Linked DNA regions of Arabidopsis thaliana. The protein of the gene in region 2 interacts with the protein of the main gene of each other region in a biochemical or structural test. Each region holds a gene or a part of one and is shown on either strand. Other genes may lie near its edges.

Region 1 (5,971 bases), about 17 Mb from region 2:
ACTCTAAATTACTAGACAACCACCTACTTGATTCACATCAACAAGTATAAATTCACACATACTAATGAAGTAACACATTGAAATATATTCTCTTTTGTGGTTTGAAATACTATTCTCACAAAAAAAAATATTCTACTCACGAATGTATAGTCTTATAGTGTTAGATGTTCATAGGCCTGAAGGAGAAAGAGTCATTATGGGCCTAATGTTTCTATATTCTAAATAGTTCTTTATGGCCCAAATATAATTTTGAAACTTCAGTTGTTGAGCCCATTTGTATGTTCTCTATCCAAAGCCTAATCGTGTGTATTCGAGCGTTTAATAAAGAACAATTTTTTTTTTTTTTTTTTTCTAATACCAGGAAGTTCTGGGCCAATGTCGGTAATCCTTTCATGCACGAAACCACATCGTGTAATATTAGTTTCGTTTCAAGCGTTACTCAAATCGGCGTTCTCTAAGCTTCGTTTACGGTCTTTACCAATTGAGCTAACGACACTCGGTAATAAAGAACAATTCACCAACTAAGACTCTGATTTGTTATAATCTGCATAGTTATTTATTAAAGGAATCAGAATTTAAATTACATTAATTAAGTCTTGATACATCATGAAATTTTAATCATTGATCAACCACACATACACATTCTCACAGGAAAAAAAAATGCATTGAAAAAGCCAGAAAAACAAAAAAAAACAGAGATCTTCATGTTGTTACAAGCTGTTACTGTGACTGTGACTATTATTTTCACTTCCACGAAGTTCTCTCAACGAAGCAACAACTTGTAACATATTAGGTCTCTTTGATGGGAAATCGTCAACGCACCGTAACGCTATCTCCAAATACCTCAACATTTCTTTCACAATCACTCCTCCTTCAAAACCTTCTTTCTCATTCAGAGACTCCGAAGAACCTTCTTTTAGAAGGTCTTCATCAATCACTTCCATGTGTTTCCCTTCTCTTGCCTTCATCTTCGACCAACCTACTAAATTCGTATCACCAAACTCTTCTTTATCCGTTGGTCTTTTCCCGCTTAAGATCTCGAGCATCACTACTCCGATTGAGTACACGTCGCCTTTTGCGGTACATCTGAAACTTTGGTAATACTCTGGTGGTACGTAACCTGGCGTGCCTGCCAAGGTACTTACACTCAAATGTGTGTCTAATGCGCTGATCAGTCTCGCCATTCCGAAATCTGAAACTCTTGCTTCCATGTCTTGATCGAGAAGCACGTTGCTCGATTTCATGTCGCGGTGGATTATGTGAGGGATACAATTGTGATGCAAGAAACAAAGTCCTTTTGCTGCTCCTTTTGCAATCTTTTTCCTCTCTTCCCAACCTAAAATCCTCCGTTTTTCGCCTGTTCTTGGTCCGTGAAGCACCTCCTCGAGGCTTCCGTATTGCATAAACTCGTAAACAAGCAATCTCTCTTCCCCGATTTTACAGTATCCCAAGAGCGGTACGAGGTTTCGGTGTTTGATCTTCCCTAAGGTTTCCATTTCTGCCATGAACTCTCGATCTCCTTGACAACTAAGTCTAATGAGCTTCTTGATCGCCACGGAAGACCCGTCTTTAAGCGTCGCCTTAAAAACCTCACCGAATCCGCCGTGTCCGATCATACTCGCGGCTGAGAATCCGTTTGTCGCCTCGATAAGCTGCGAAAACTTAAGCTTTCTCAACTGTCGCTGAAACGTCGCTACATTAATACTCAACGGCTCTTTCTCCTTCTCTATCTTCCATGTAGTGGCGGAATTAACCGCCTGCAAACTGTGAAGCATCTTCGCATCATCCGCATCTCTCCTCCTCGCACGAACCGCAATCGCCCAAACGATTAAAATACAAACCGAAGCAGCGGAAATCAACACTCCCAAAACAATGCTATTCGCCCAAGAAGCTGCCCTAGTTCCGTGCTTAGCACGTTTCCCTTCCTCTGTTCCAGCAGGAAGCTGATTGTTTCCATTCTTACATTCCGGTAAAGGAACACCGCAAAGCCCCGGATTATTCGCGTACTGAGTCGCCGGAAGCGTGCTTAACTGACCTCTCTGAGGAATCGGACCAGTTAACTCGTTATTCGACAAATCAATCTGCACCAAGAAAGACAAATTCGAGAAAGATTCAGGGATTTGACCCTGCAACCGATTATCCGAAGCATCGAAAACACCGAGATTCTTGAGCTGACCAATCGTAAACGGAATCTCGCCGGAGAGTTGATTATGAGAAAGCTCAAGAACTTGAAGAGCAATCATTTCTCCAATCTCATCAGGGATTTTACCTCTAAGCTGATTATAAGAAAGATCAAGATACTCAATGGTTTGATATCTTGTGAATAGACTCAAAATTGGACCTGAATACATTCTTGTGAAGTCACAGCTTTTAAGAGATGGAATCTGAAGAAGCCTCTCTGGTCTGATCCCTGAGAACTCAACCAAACCTCCAACACCTTTACATGAGTTTCCAACGTTTCTAACAAAAGCCATTGTGTTTCCTGAGAGTAAACCGGAAAGTGCTTTTGAACCGGGTTGACGACCTAACCGGGGAGGGATTTCACCGGTTAAGTGGTTTGTGTTAAGATCAAGCCAAACCAGAGTTGTGCATTTTCCTAGCTCCGGTGGGATTTCTCCGGTGAAATTGTTGTTACCGAGCTGAAGAACGGCTAACCGGGAAAGGATTCCGAAATCTTTAGGCACTTCTCCGGTTAATCTGTTGCTTGTGAATGAGACCCATTCGATGTTACTGCAATTGAAAAATTCCGGTGGGATTTCTCCGGTGAGTTGATTGTTGTTGAGGATCAAATCTTTTAGGTTTTGTAGTTTTCCGATCTCCGGTGGGATTTCTCCGGCGATGTTGTTGTACCAAGCTATGAATTGCTCGAGTTTCTGGAGGTTTCCGATCTCCGGTGGGATTGTACCGTTGAGATAATTGAGACTGAGATCAATCGTTCGTAGCTCAGAGCATTGAGATATCGCCGGTGGAATCTCTCCGGTGACGAGATTATCCGGGAGTCTTAGCTCTTCTAATGAAGCTGCTCCGGGACATAAATCCGGTGGAATCACACCGGAGAATCGATTCGAGCTGAAGTCAGCGATTCTCAAGCTCTTACAAGCAGAGATTGAAGTCGGAAAGTCACCGGAGATTAAGTTGTTGCTGAGAAGTAAGATTTGAAGAGATCCAAAACTCCGGAGGATAGTGTTCGGAAACGGACCGGAGATGTTGTTGTTTGAAAGGTCAAGACTTTGTAGCCAAGAACATGAGGACAACGACTCAGGGATCACACCAGTGAAGTTGTTGTAAGAAAGCCGGAGGTTTTGTAATGACCGGCAAGTATCTCCGATCTCCGGCGGGATCCAACCGGTGAGTCGGTTATGAGAAAGATCCAAACTTTGTAAGAGTTTAAGCTCACCGAAAGATTTTGGAATCTGCCCATCGAAGTTGTTGTAAGAAAGATTCAAGCTTTTGAGGTTGGTGCAGTTGATGAGTGAGTCAGAGATATAGCCGGAGATACTGTTACCGGAGAAATCGAGATAGGTCATGGAGACGCAAGAAGAAAGAGGAATGGTTAAACCGGAGATTGGACCGGTAATGTTGTTGTAAGAAAGATCAAGGGTTTGGAGTTTCTTGCTGCTTAAGAAAAGATCATTAGGTAACTTTCCGGTGAAGTTATTGTAAGAGAGGGTGATGGAAATAAGATTTGAGTATTTGGAGAAGAAATTTTCAGGGAGGGTTCCGATTAAACCGGAGGAAGAGAGTTCGAGATGAGTTAGGGTTAAAGGAAGAAGAAGAAGAGAGGTTGAGTTTAAGACGAAGAAGTTCTCTGAGAGTTTGAGAACAGAGAGAGAATCAAGAGAGGTGAAAGCATTGAAGGAGACGATTCCGGAGAGGCCACTACCGGAGAGATTAATCTCGGTGACTCTTCCTCCGAGACAAGTGACGCCGGAGAATTGACAAGGGGATTTACGAGGTGACCAGTTTGAGAGAATGTTGTTTGGATCATCTTGGATCATTGTTTTGAAAGAGAGGAGTGATAATGAGTCGGTTTTGAGTGAAGATTGGTCGGAGGAGGAAGATTGTGAGAGATGGGTAAGGAGGAAGATGAAGGAGATTTGGATCCGAGTCCGGATCCGAACCCGGATTGGTGAAGTAGTCATTGGAGGGAGGTTTTTTGAGTTTGAATGGAGAAGGAGAAGTAAGTAAGTTGAAACATTTAGATGATAAAGAGACGATGCTAAAGCAGAGGAAGAAAAAGGGCTTTTTTTGAAGAAAAGAAAAAGCTGCTTTTAGGTAATTTATTAAGTTTTATTAATTGTTGATGCTTATTATTTTTAAAACATCTTTGTCGAATCGTTTTTTTTTACATATGATGTTTTTCTAATAGATGATTGATTTATTAAATGGTTATGATCAATCTTATGATTTTGTGGAATTGTGATCATGACTTGTAGTGATTTGTGTAAGTGACATTATTAATCTAATAGAATACATGTTGTTTGATAATCAAAAAAATTAAGTTCAGTTTATAGAATAAAACTCTAATATTTAGAAAAATATGTTTTCAGTTTCATTTAGTCCTATATCTATTTGTTTCTAATGGTTTCATAATTTTAATTCATTAAAGCTCCATGTGGGGATTTTGAACCTTAGAAAGAATTATGATCACTGCTAATTTTCTAAATGGGAATTGTATCTATGAGATGTTTCACAAATTTCAATGAAGAAAAAGTGTAGTATTATATAAACTTCCATTTAAAAATTTAGCTATATACTATTGTTGTATAACATTTCTTAAAATGATTTAAATATTAGTTGTATAACATTTCTTAAAATAATTTAAATATTAGATGACAAGCAACTAGATCTAATAAGAGTCGGAAGGAATTGTCCGTTGTAGAATCGTCTATGTAACAGTGCAATAAATAATAAATCTAAGACTGGCAAAAAAAAATAATTGACAAGCAACTGAATATGAATATAGTTAGTGATATAGTGACAACACTAATAAAAACGAACATAATAGAAATTCTAGTCTATAATCACATCAAGTTTGGAATTTTGGGATAATTTGTTTTGTTTTTGTTGTGTATTGTATTAATACTTTATTTAAAAAAAAAACAAAACCTTTTACAAAAGAATGGCAATTATATTGAAAGGAATTTTGGGAGAAATTATTCCAAACCGATATACAAATATTTCATATGGTGGGGTGTGTGGTCAAAATAATTGGGACCCAATTTAGTCATAATATGCATCGCATATGAAATGGTCTTTTGTAAAATTTGGTTGATCCAATGTTCACTGTCGAGGCAGAGGCGTGGGGGAATGAACAGAGAAGTGACTTTACAAATTACAATAACAAACTTTAAGGTGTAACCATAATGTTGCTCACTTCTTTTTCCATTTTTATGTGATTTTAATTAGTTTAGTTTCATATAATATGCCATAGATGAGCCTTTATATCATGTTCCATGTCACACACTCCATCCTTTTCATCATTACACTGCCTTCTTCCACCAAGTTTATGAGTAGATTTGTATGACTTAAGCAAAATATTAGCTTGATTATTTCAGCCAACGAGAAAATGCTATTTTGAAATGTTCATTGATAAATAATCATATACACATATTAAAGAAAAAAATATACACAAGTCATATTTTAAAATGTTTCAATTGGTTATACCCTAGCTACCATTCAATTGCACAAGAGACTATTTCTTTAAGATCAATAGTTTCTAGTAAGAAATAATTATTCTTAGAACATTTTTCCATTGCAATTAATAGTGCAAATCTTATCACCTATAGTGTGATTTTGTGTGTTATAAATTTGTAATATATCATACTGTTGAAGACTATAGAGTATATTTTATTGATTCTGTTTAATAAATAAAGGACCGAATAGTGGAGAGTAATAGAGAAAAAGCCCCACAAAAGAAACAACATCAATTAGCTCGTGGTTTAGTGGCATGAGAGGTTATGATTCCTTT
Region 2 (5,525 bases):
TATCCATGGACATTCTTGATGATAGATAGTTGAAATAGCATCTGGAAGACGATTGCCAGTTTTTATCAATATATATTTTCACTTGGACTTCAACTGTTAATTTTGCATTTGTGTGCAGGAGACGATGCTCATAAGACGAATGGTTCTGCCAAACCTGGTGCTGGTGGAGACGATGCAGAGGTAAGTATAAGAGATTCCTTTACTCGGGGTAAATCAAATTAAAATAAGCCGATTTTGATTCAAGATTTCTTTGCTTATGTTGCAGTGATATGATATGTGTGCACCTGGACAATATGTTTCAAGAACTGAATGTGCGGTGAATAATAGTGAAAAGTAGAGTTTCTCTGTTCCCTATATCATGATTGTCTATGTTACTTGTACTCTGGTTTAGCCCTAAATGTCTCTCTGGTTTGAATGTATTGCATGCCTGTCTCAGGACACTCTTATTTGTAATTCACTACTGTCGTCTTACTATCTATCCTTATGGATCCAATCTTGAAACTTATATTCCTTCATTTCTGAATTGCTGAGATAGAAGCTGATTGGATTCGGTACTCTCTGATTCATATTCTGTCACTGATTGAATCAACAACACCAAATACAGTAAACTCTGTTCAGTTTCTTTCACTGGTGTGGTGAATAATCTAGCATACACAAGCCAAGCGTAAATAGATAATGAAGCTTGCATTTCTTGAATCATTGCGAACATTTACCCATACGTAATATGCCAAAGCAAGCAGAGCCAAACTCCAAAAAATAAATAAAGAAGAATTAGAATCGAATAAGAAGAAAGAATGAATAGTTTGTTGAATTTGACAGAAGAGCTCTTTCCCATCTTTCACATAGAATGCTTTCTGAGTCTTTTAAATAGGCTATTCGGATCGAATCATAGGGAAGCAGATAATGATGATAGGGCTTTTTCAATCATAAGAGGAAATGCTTTATAGAGTCCTCTAGAAACTGATGGCTAGGACAAACCATCTCCTTCACTTTATCTCCATTCTTGTACATCTTAAATGTCGGAACTTTCCTGATACTCTCTGCTTTCGCCAACGCCATGCTCTCCTCCACATCCACCTAATAACATTTCATTTTCTCAGTTAACACATTGAGAAACATAGGTTATACATATAAGTTTAGAAGAAAATGTGATATAAAAAGCATATTTGGAATGTGTTCTTGTTCTTACCATAAAGAAATGTACTAATGGATACCGAAGACATAAAGTGTTGATGAATGGAGAAATTTCTTCGCATTGTCGGTTTGATGATGATTTGAAATGAAATACAGAGACACCTGAAGAGAAATGTTTCCAACTTGAGCAAGACACGCAAAATCTCAACCTTTTGAGACAAATTGAAGTTTCTCATTAGACTTACCGGGAAGTGCTACGGATTTCTTGAACTTATCCAAAGTCGAAACCGCTTCAACTTCATTATTGAAACCTAGGCTTTTAGATTCTTGGCTTCTGTTCATTAGCACTGTTTTCGCTCTCTCTAGAGACTCTGCAACTTCACTGTCTCCTGGAAGTTCTCTTCTCAAGAACTCATAATCTTTAACCGCATCCTCCCACCTACCAAGCTATATATTTCAACACACATTGTCATTCGAATACACTGCAAAATTCTGTCAATAACTGATTATAGTAAGTTCTAATCTCACCTTTCCATATGAAGCAGCCCTACGTAGAAGTGCCTTGATGTAACTAGGCTGGCTTTTGAGCGCATGGTTACAATCTTCAACAGATTTCTCCCACAAACCGAGCTTATACCAACACGCTGCTCTGTTGCAGTACAAAACCGAATTGGAGTCATCTTGCTTGAGACCGTCTCCATAAGCTACACACGCTTCCGAGAATCTCCCCGAACTAAATAGCTCATTACCACGAGTACGTGCCCGCACAACCATCTTCACATTGTTTAAAACTGATACAACCTCAGGATTGGTTTGATCAAGCATCGCAGCTCTCTCTGCCTTGACAACCGCATTCTCAAATCTGCAACAAACCTATCATATCTACTCACTCACCGGTGGAGAAACAAAAATCCAAAGAATCACAACATTTCTGAGTTTCGAAAGCTCACCTTCCTAATGCCATATCAACTTGAGCTTGGATACAGAGCACATAAGCTTCAACTACCATACCAAAGAGTTTCACCTGCGGTTGAGAATGGTAATGATGATCCAATCTTGGAATGCAAGATACACAAAAATCCGAATCCTCTATTTGCTTAAGACGCAAAAAGGCTTCTGCTTTACAAGCTACAAGCTGTCCAAACCAATAGAAAAAACCTCACTGTTAGTCAAAAATCTTTACAAGCATATCATACGACAATGATATGTAATCACCTGAGGAGACGAATCAGCGCCGTTTGCAATGGCTGCATCGGTTTCCTTAATCGCGGTTTTCCAATCTCCAATCTTTCGAGCCTCCCAGCATCGTCGGAGATGCTTCTCCAGCGTCTGTAGCCGTTGGAGATCAGCTTGATCCGGACATTGACCAGAAAAACAAATGTGACGTCTTGCATTCTCAGCTTCACCCAATCTAAAGCAACAATTCACTCCATCATTTCAAATTCTCAATCTTTAAACTAAAAACACAGCAACAAAACAAAAAGCCTCTCAAGATTACCTGAGATAGAGAGAAGCAAGTCTTTGGTGAGCTCTGGAGTAAGAAGGATCAATCCTAACAGCTTCAAGACATTCTTTAACGGCTTCTCCTAACCGCCTCAATGCCGTTAAAGCCGCGGCACGGTTGCTTCTGTAAGCTGCATTTCCCGGTGAAATCAAAATTGCTCTGTCATAAAGCGACAGAGCTTCAGAGAAACTCCCTCTCCTATACATATCATTCCCCATTCTCTTCAACTCCTCCGGGTTTTCGCCATTCTCCGCCACTCTCACCGCCTTTCCGCTGGTTCCTCCTCCTCCGCCGCTGCGTACAACGTTTCCATGTCCGTAATTACCAGTTCCTGTGCATAGAGTCTCAGTCCTACTTGAAGTCCGAGACGCCATTCCAGTTTTCAAGATCCGACCCGACGGACAAATATTTCCCGCCGGTAAAACGCCAGTATTGGGAGACACTGCCGACGTAGCACCGCTACCACCTCCTTGTGGCGAGGTGTGACTCGTTGCTGAAGTAAAGCTAGAGCCAGAGAAGATCAAAGGCGTGCCAGTAGAAGAAGATCTTCTATGACCCGGTTTAAGAATCCGGGTCGTGGTCGGCATTCCGGATCCGGGGCTAGAAAGCTCACCGGAATGACTCTTGTAAGCATCATCTAACCGTTTAGCCATCTGAGAACTCACCGACGGTTTACCAGAAGCAGAGCCAGAAGAGCCAGAGCTGCTAGTAGGAGTCGCAGCAGCGGAAGAAGAAGCAGAGCCACGTGGCATTAAGGTAGAAACAGGAGAACCTAGATCGAGTTCTCGAAAATCAGGTTTGTTGACGTCATCATCATTTCTCTGTAAATCACGAAATCGACCAGTGATTGAATCTATAGCAGGTTCCAACGAAAGTCTTCTAGAATGAGACATCGTCGTCACTTCCTCGTGAGCTGAATCTAAAATGAGACTCAGCTTCCTTTTCTTCTTCTCAGAGAAGTCAAGAGACCACCACCGAAGCTTTTAACGCCGGACAGAAACAAGTACTGTCTTCAGAGAGAAGAGAGAGAAAGAAGAGGAAAAAGAAAGACAGATCTCGTGATAAATAGAAAAGGAAGACGCAAAGAATTAAGATGAAGAAAAAAAAAAGGATTAACCTTGATTAATAAAGATTACGGATTTATCTCCCTGAAGATTATGACATTGATCTTCTTCTTCATCTTCTGTTTATCTCTCTTCGCTCCCGTGTCTTCACGGCTACTTGTCGTTGAAGAAAATAATACGGTGATTTATCGAATTTATTATTAATTAATAAACTCTATAGTCTAAAATAGTTGACTTTTTAATTTTGAGCACAGTGTTCGAATATAAACTAATTAGACTTTTTCTAACATTTAATGAATTTAAGTTTTCTTAATAAATTAAAACATTTAACCCCTTACTAACTAACTACATCTTTTTTTTTTGGTGCACACTAACTAAGTACTAAAGTACATCTACTTTCAAATTGTTGCGTTGTGTTACGGAAACGAATTATGATATAGTACATTGTATCTGTTAATTTGTATGAATGTTAATTAGTATTTAAAATTACTAGCTTCTGACGTCAAGGGCACGAAGATTCAAGCACGTTCACTCATGTTCCCAAAATGTTACTCTATCGAAATGTATAACATCATTTATTAATACAGACTATGCAATAGCATAAGCAAGGCAAGCTAGCTATATGTACTAGTATCATATTAGGATTTTTTAAAAGTAAACACTAAACCTTCGTAGGATATTCAATGCGCCACGACATGTTACTATTTTATCATTATTACTAGTATTTTTTTGTTGCAATATGTTTCATTTATCAAACCCACTTTTAGGGTCGTTGTACAGAAGTCTCGCATTAAATTGGCCGACTCAATTTTTATTAAATTGAATAATTGTAATGGTATTTTTTAGACATTAACATTTTAACTAGTGTTTAGTTAGTTGTAAAAAAAAATCTGGACAAATTACTAAGAAATAAGAAGTTATATTCTAGAAAGTAAATCTAATGATTATTTCTACAGATACAATAGATTTTTATTATAAAAAAAAATTAGTTAGAAGTATGTCAACAAATCACAGACTTTTGGAGTTTGGTTAAACTATTTGACCAAGAAAAATGAGAAAAAATGCCACGTAAGGATTTCAACCCTCGTACTCAGAGACAGCAAGATAGAGGGTAAAATCGTCATTCGATGTAAGATGTATTTATCAAGCCAGCCAAACTTTTGTTTAAGCCACCATATATATTGTACTATTATAAGCATATAAAGTAATCTTTTATTGCAATAGCCAATTTAAATGTAAATAACAAATGTGTGTAATGCAACAAAAATAAAGAAAATTACAAATGAAAGTTCAATATCTATTGCAGAGCTGGCATTTTTAAAATCTTCATTTTGGTTTTCGGGTGTCCTTTGAAAAGGCTGTCATAGTTCTCTTTTTTTCTTTTCTGGGGATTACTGTTTAATTCATTCGATATAGAGTAGTTAATTTGCTGAAACTCATAATTAATTACTTTGTATTAACTATTTACTGTTTCTAGTAGATCATGGCCAGTCCGTACCGTTCAGACCTACGGAACCACTAATTACATTGAACCAAGCACCATGCATGCCTTCATTTTATTTTATTTTTCTCTAGCTAGGTCATGCCTCGCACCCTCAAATTATTTTCCATATATAGTCAATTAATTTTCTCTTGACTTTTTCTTAAATAAATTATTTCGCTATATAAAAATATTTAAAACAATAATAGGATAATTAAGAACATAACGATAATAAATAGTAAATACTAATTAAAGAAAAAAAAGGATAAAAAAATAGAAGGGTGTTGCGGTAATTATGGGGATAATTGCAAAACGGTGATCATGCCAGCTGGTTATTGACTTC

The links. Proteins that work in one complex are often made in the same cells at the same time.
Region 1: the proteins of TTL3 (region 2) and BRL2 form a complex in vitro, tested with the Arabidopsis thaliana proteins (one study listed by BioGRID).

The regions. Positions count from the first base shown.
Region 1 is NC_003071.7:440,095-446,065, forward strand, and holds BRL2 (BRI1-like 2), read right to left. Parts: upstream 4,231-5,971; 5' UTR 4,143-4,230; coding exon 711-4,142; 3' UTR 530-710; downstream 1-529. UniProt on the Arabidopsis thaliana protein: Receptor with a serine/threonine-protein kinase activity, which may transduce extracellular spatial and temporal signals into downstream cell differentiation responses in provascular and procambial cells.
Region 2 is NC_003071.7:17,726,861-17,732,385, reverse strand, and holds TTL3 (tetratricopetide-repeat thioredoxin-like 3), read right to left. Parts: upstream 3,908-5,525; 5' UTR 3,532-3,907; coding exon 2,633-3,531; intron 2,546-2,632; coding exon 2,350-2,545; intron 2,270-2,349; coding exon 2,085-2,269; intron 1,997-2,084; coding exon 1,663-1,996; intron 1,582-1,662; coding exon 1,380-1,581; intron 1,297-1,379; coding exon 1,190-1,296; intron 1,078-1,189; coding exon 925-1,077; 3' UTR 550-924; downstream 1-549. Other genes in the region: GRF9 (general regulatory factor 9), read left to right, coding at 119-222. UniProt on the Arabidopsis thaliana protein: Involved in osmotic and salt stress tolerance. May play a role in the control of meristematic cell size during osmotic stress. May function as an adapter protein for BRL2 and may be required for signaling affecting leaf vascular tissue pattern formation.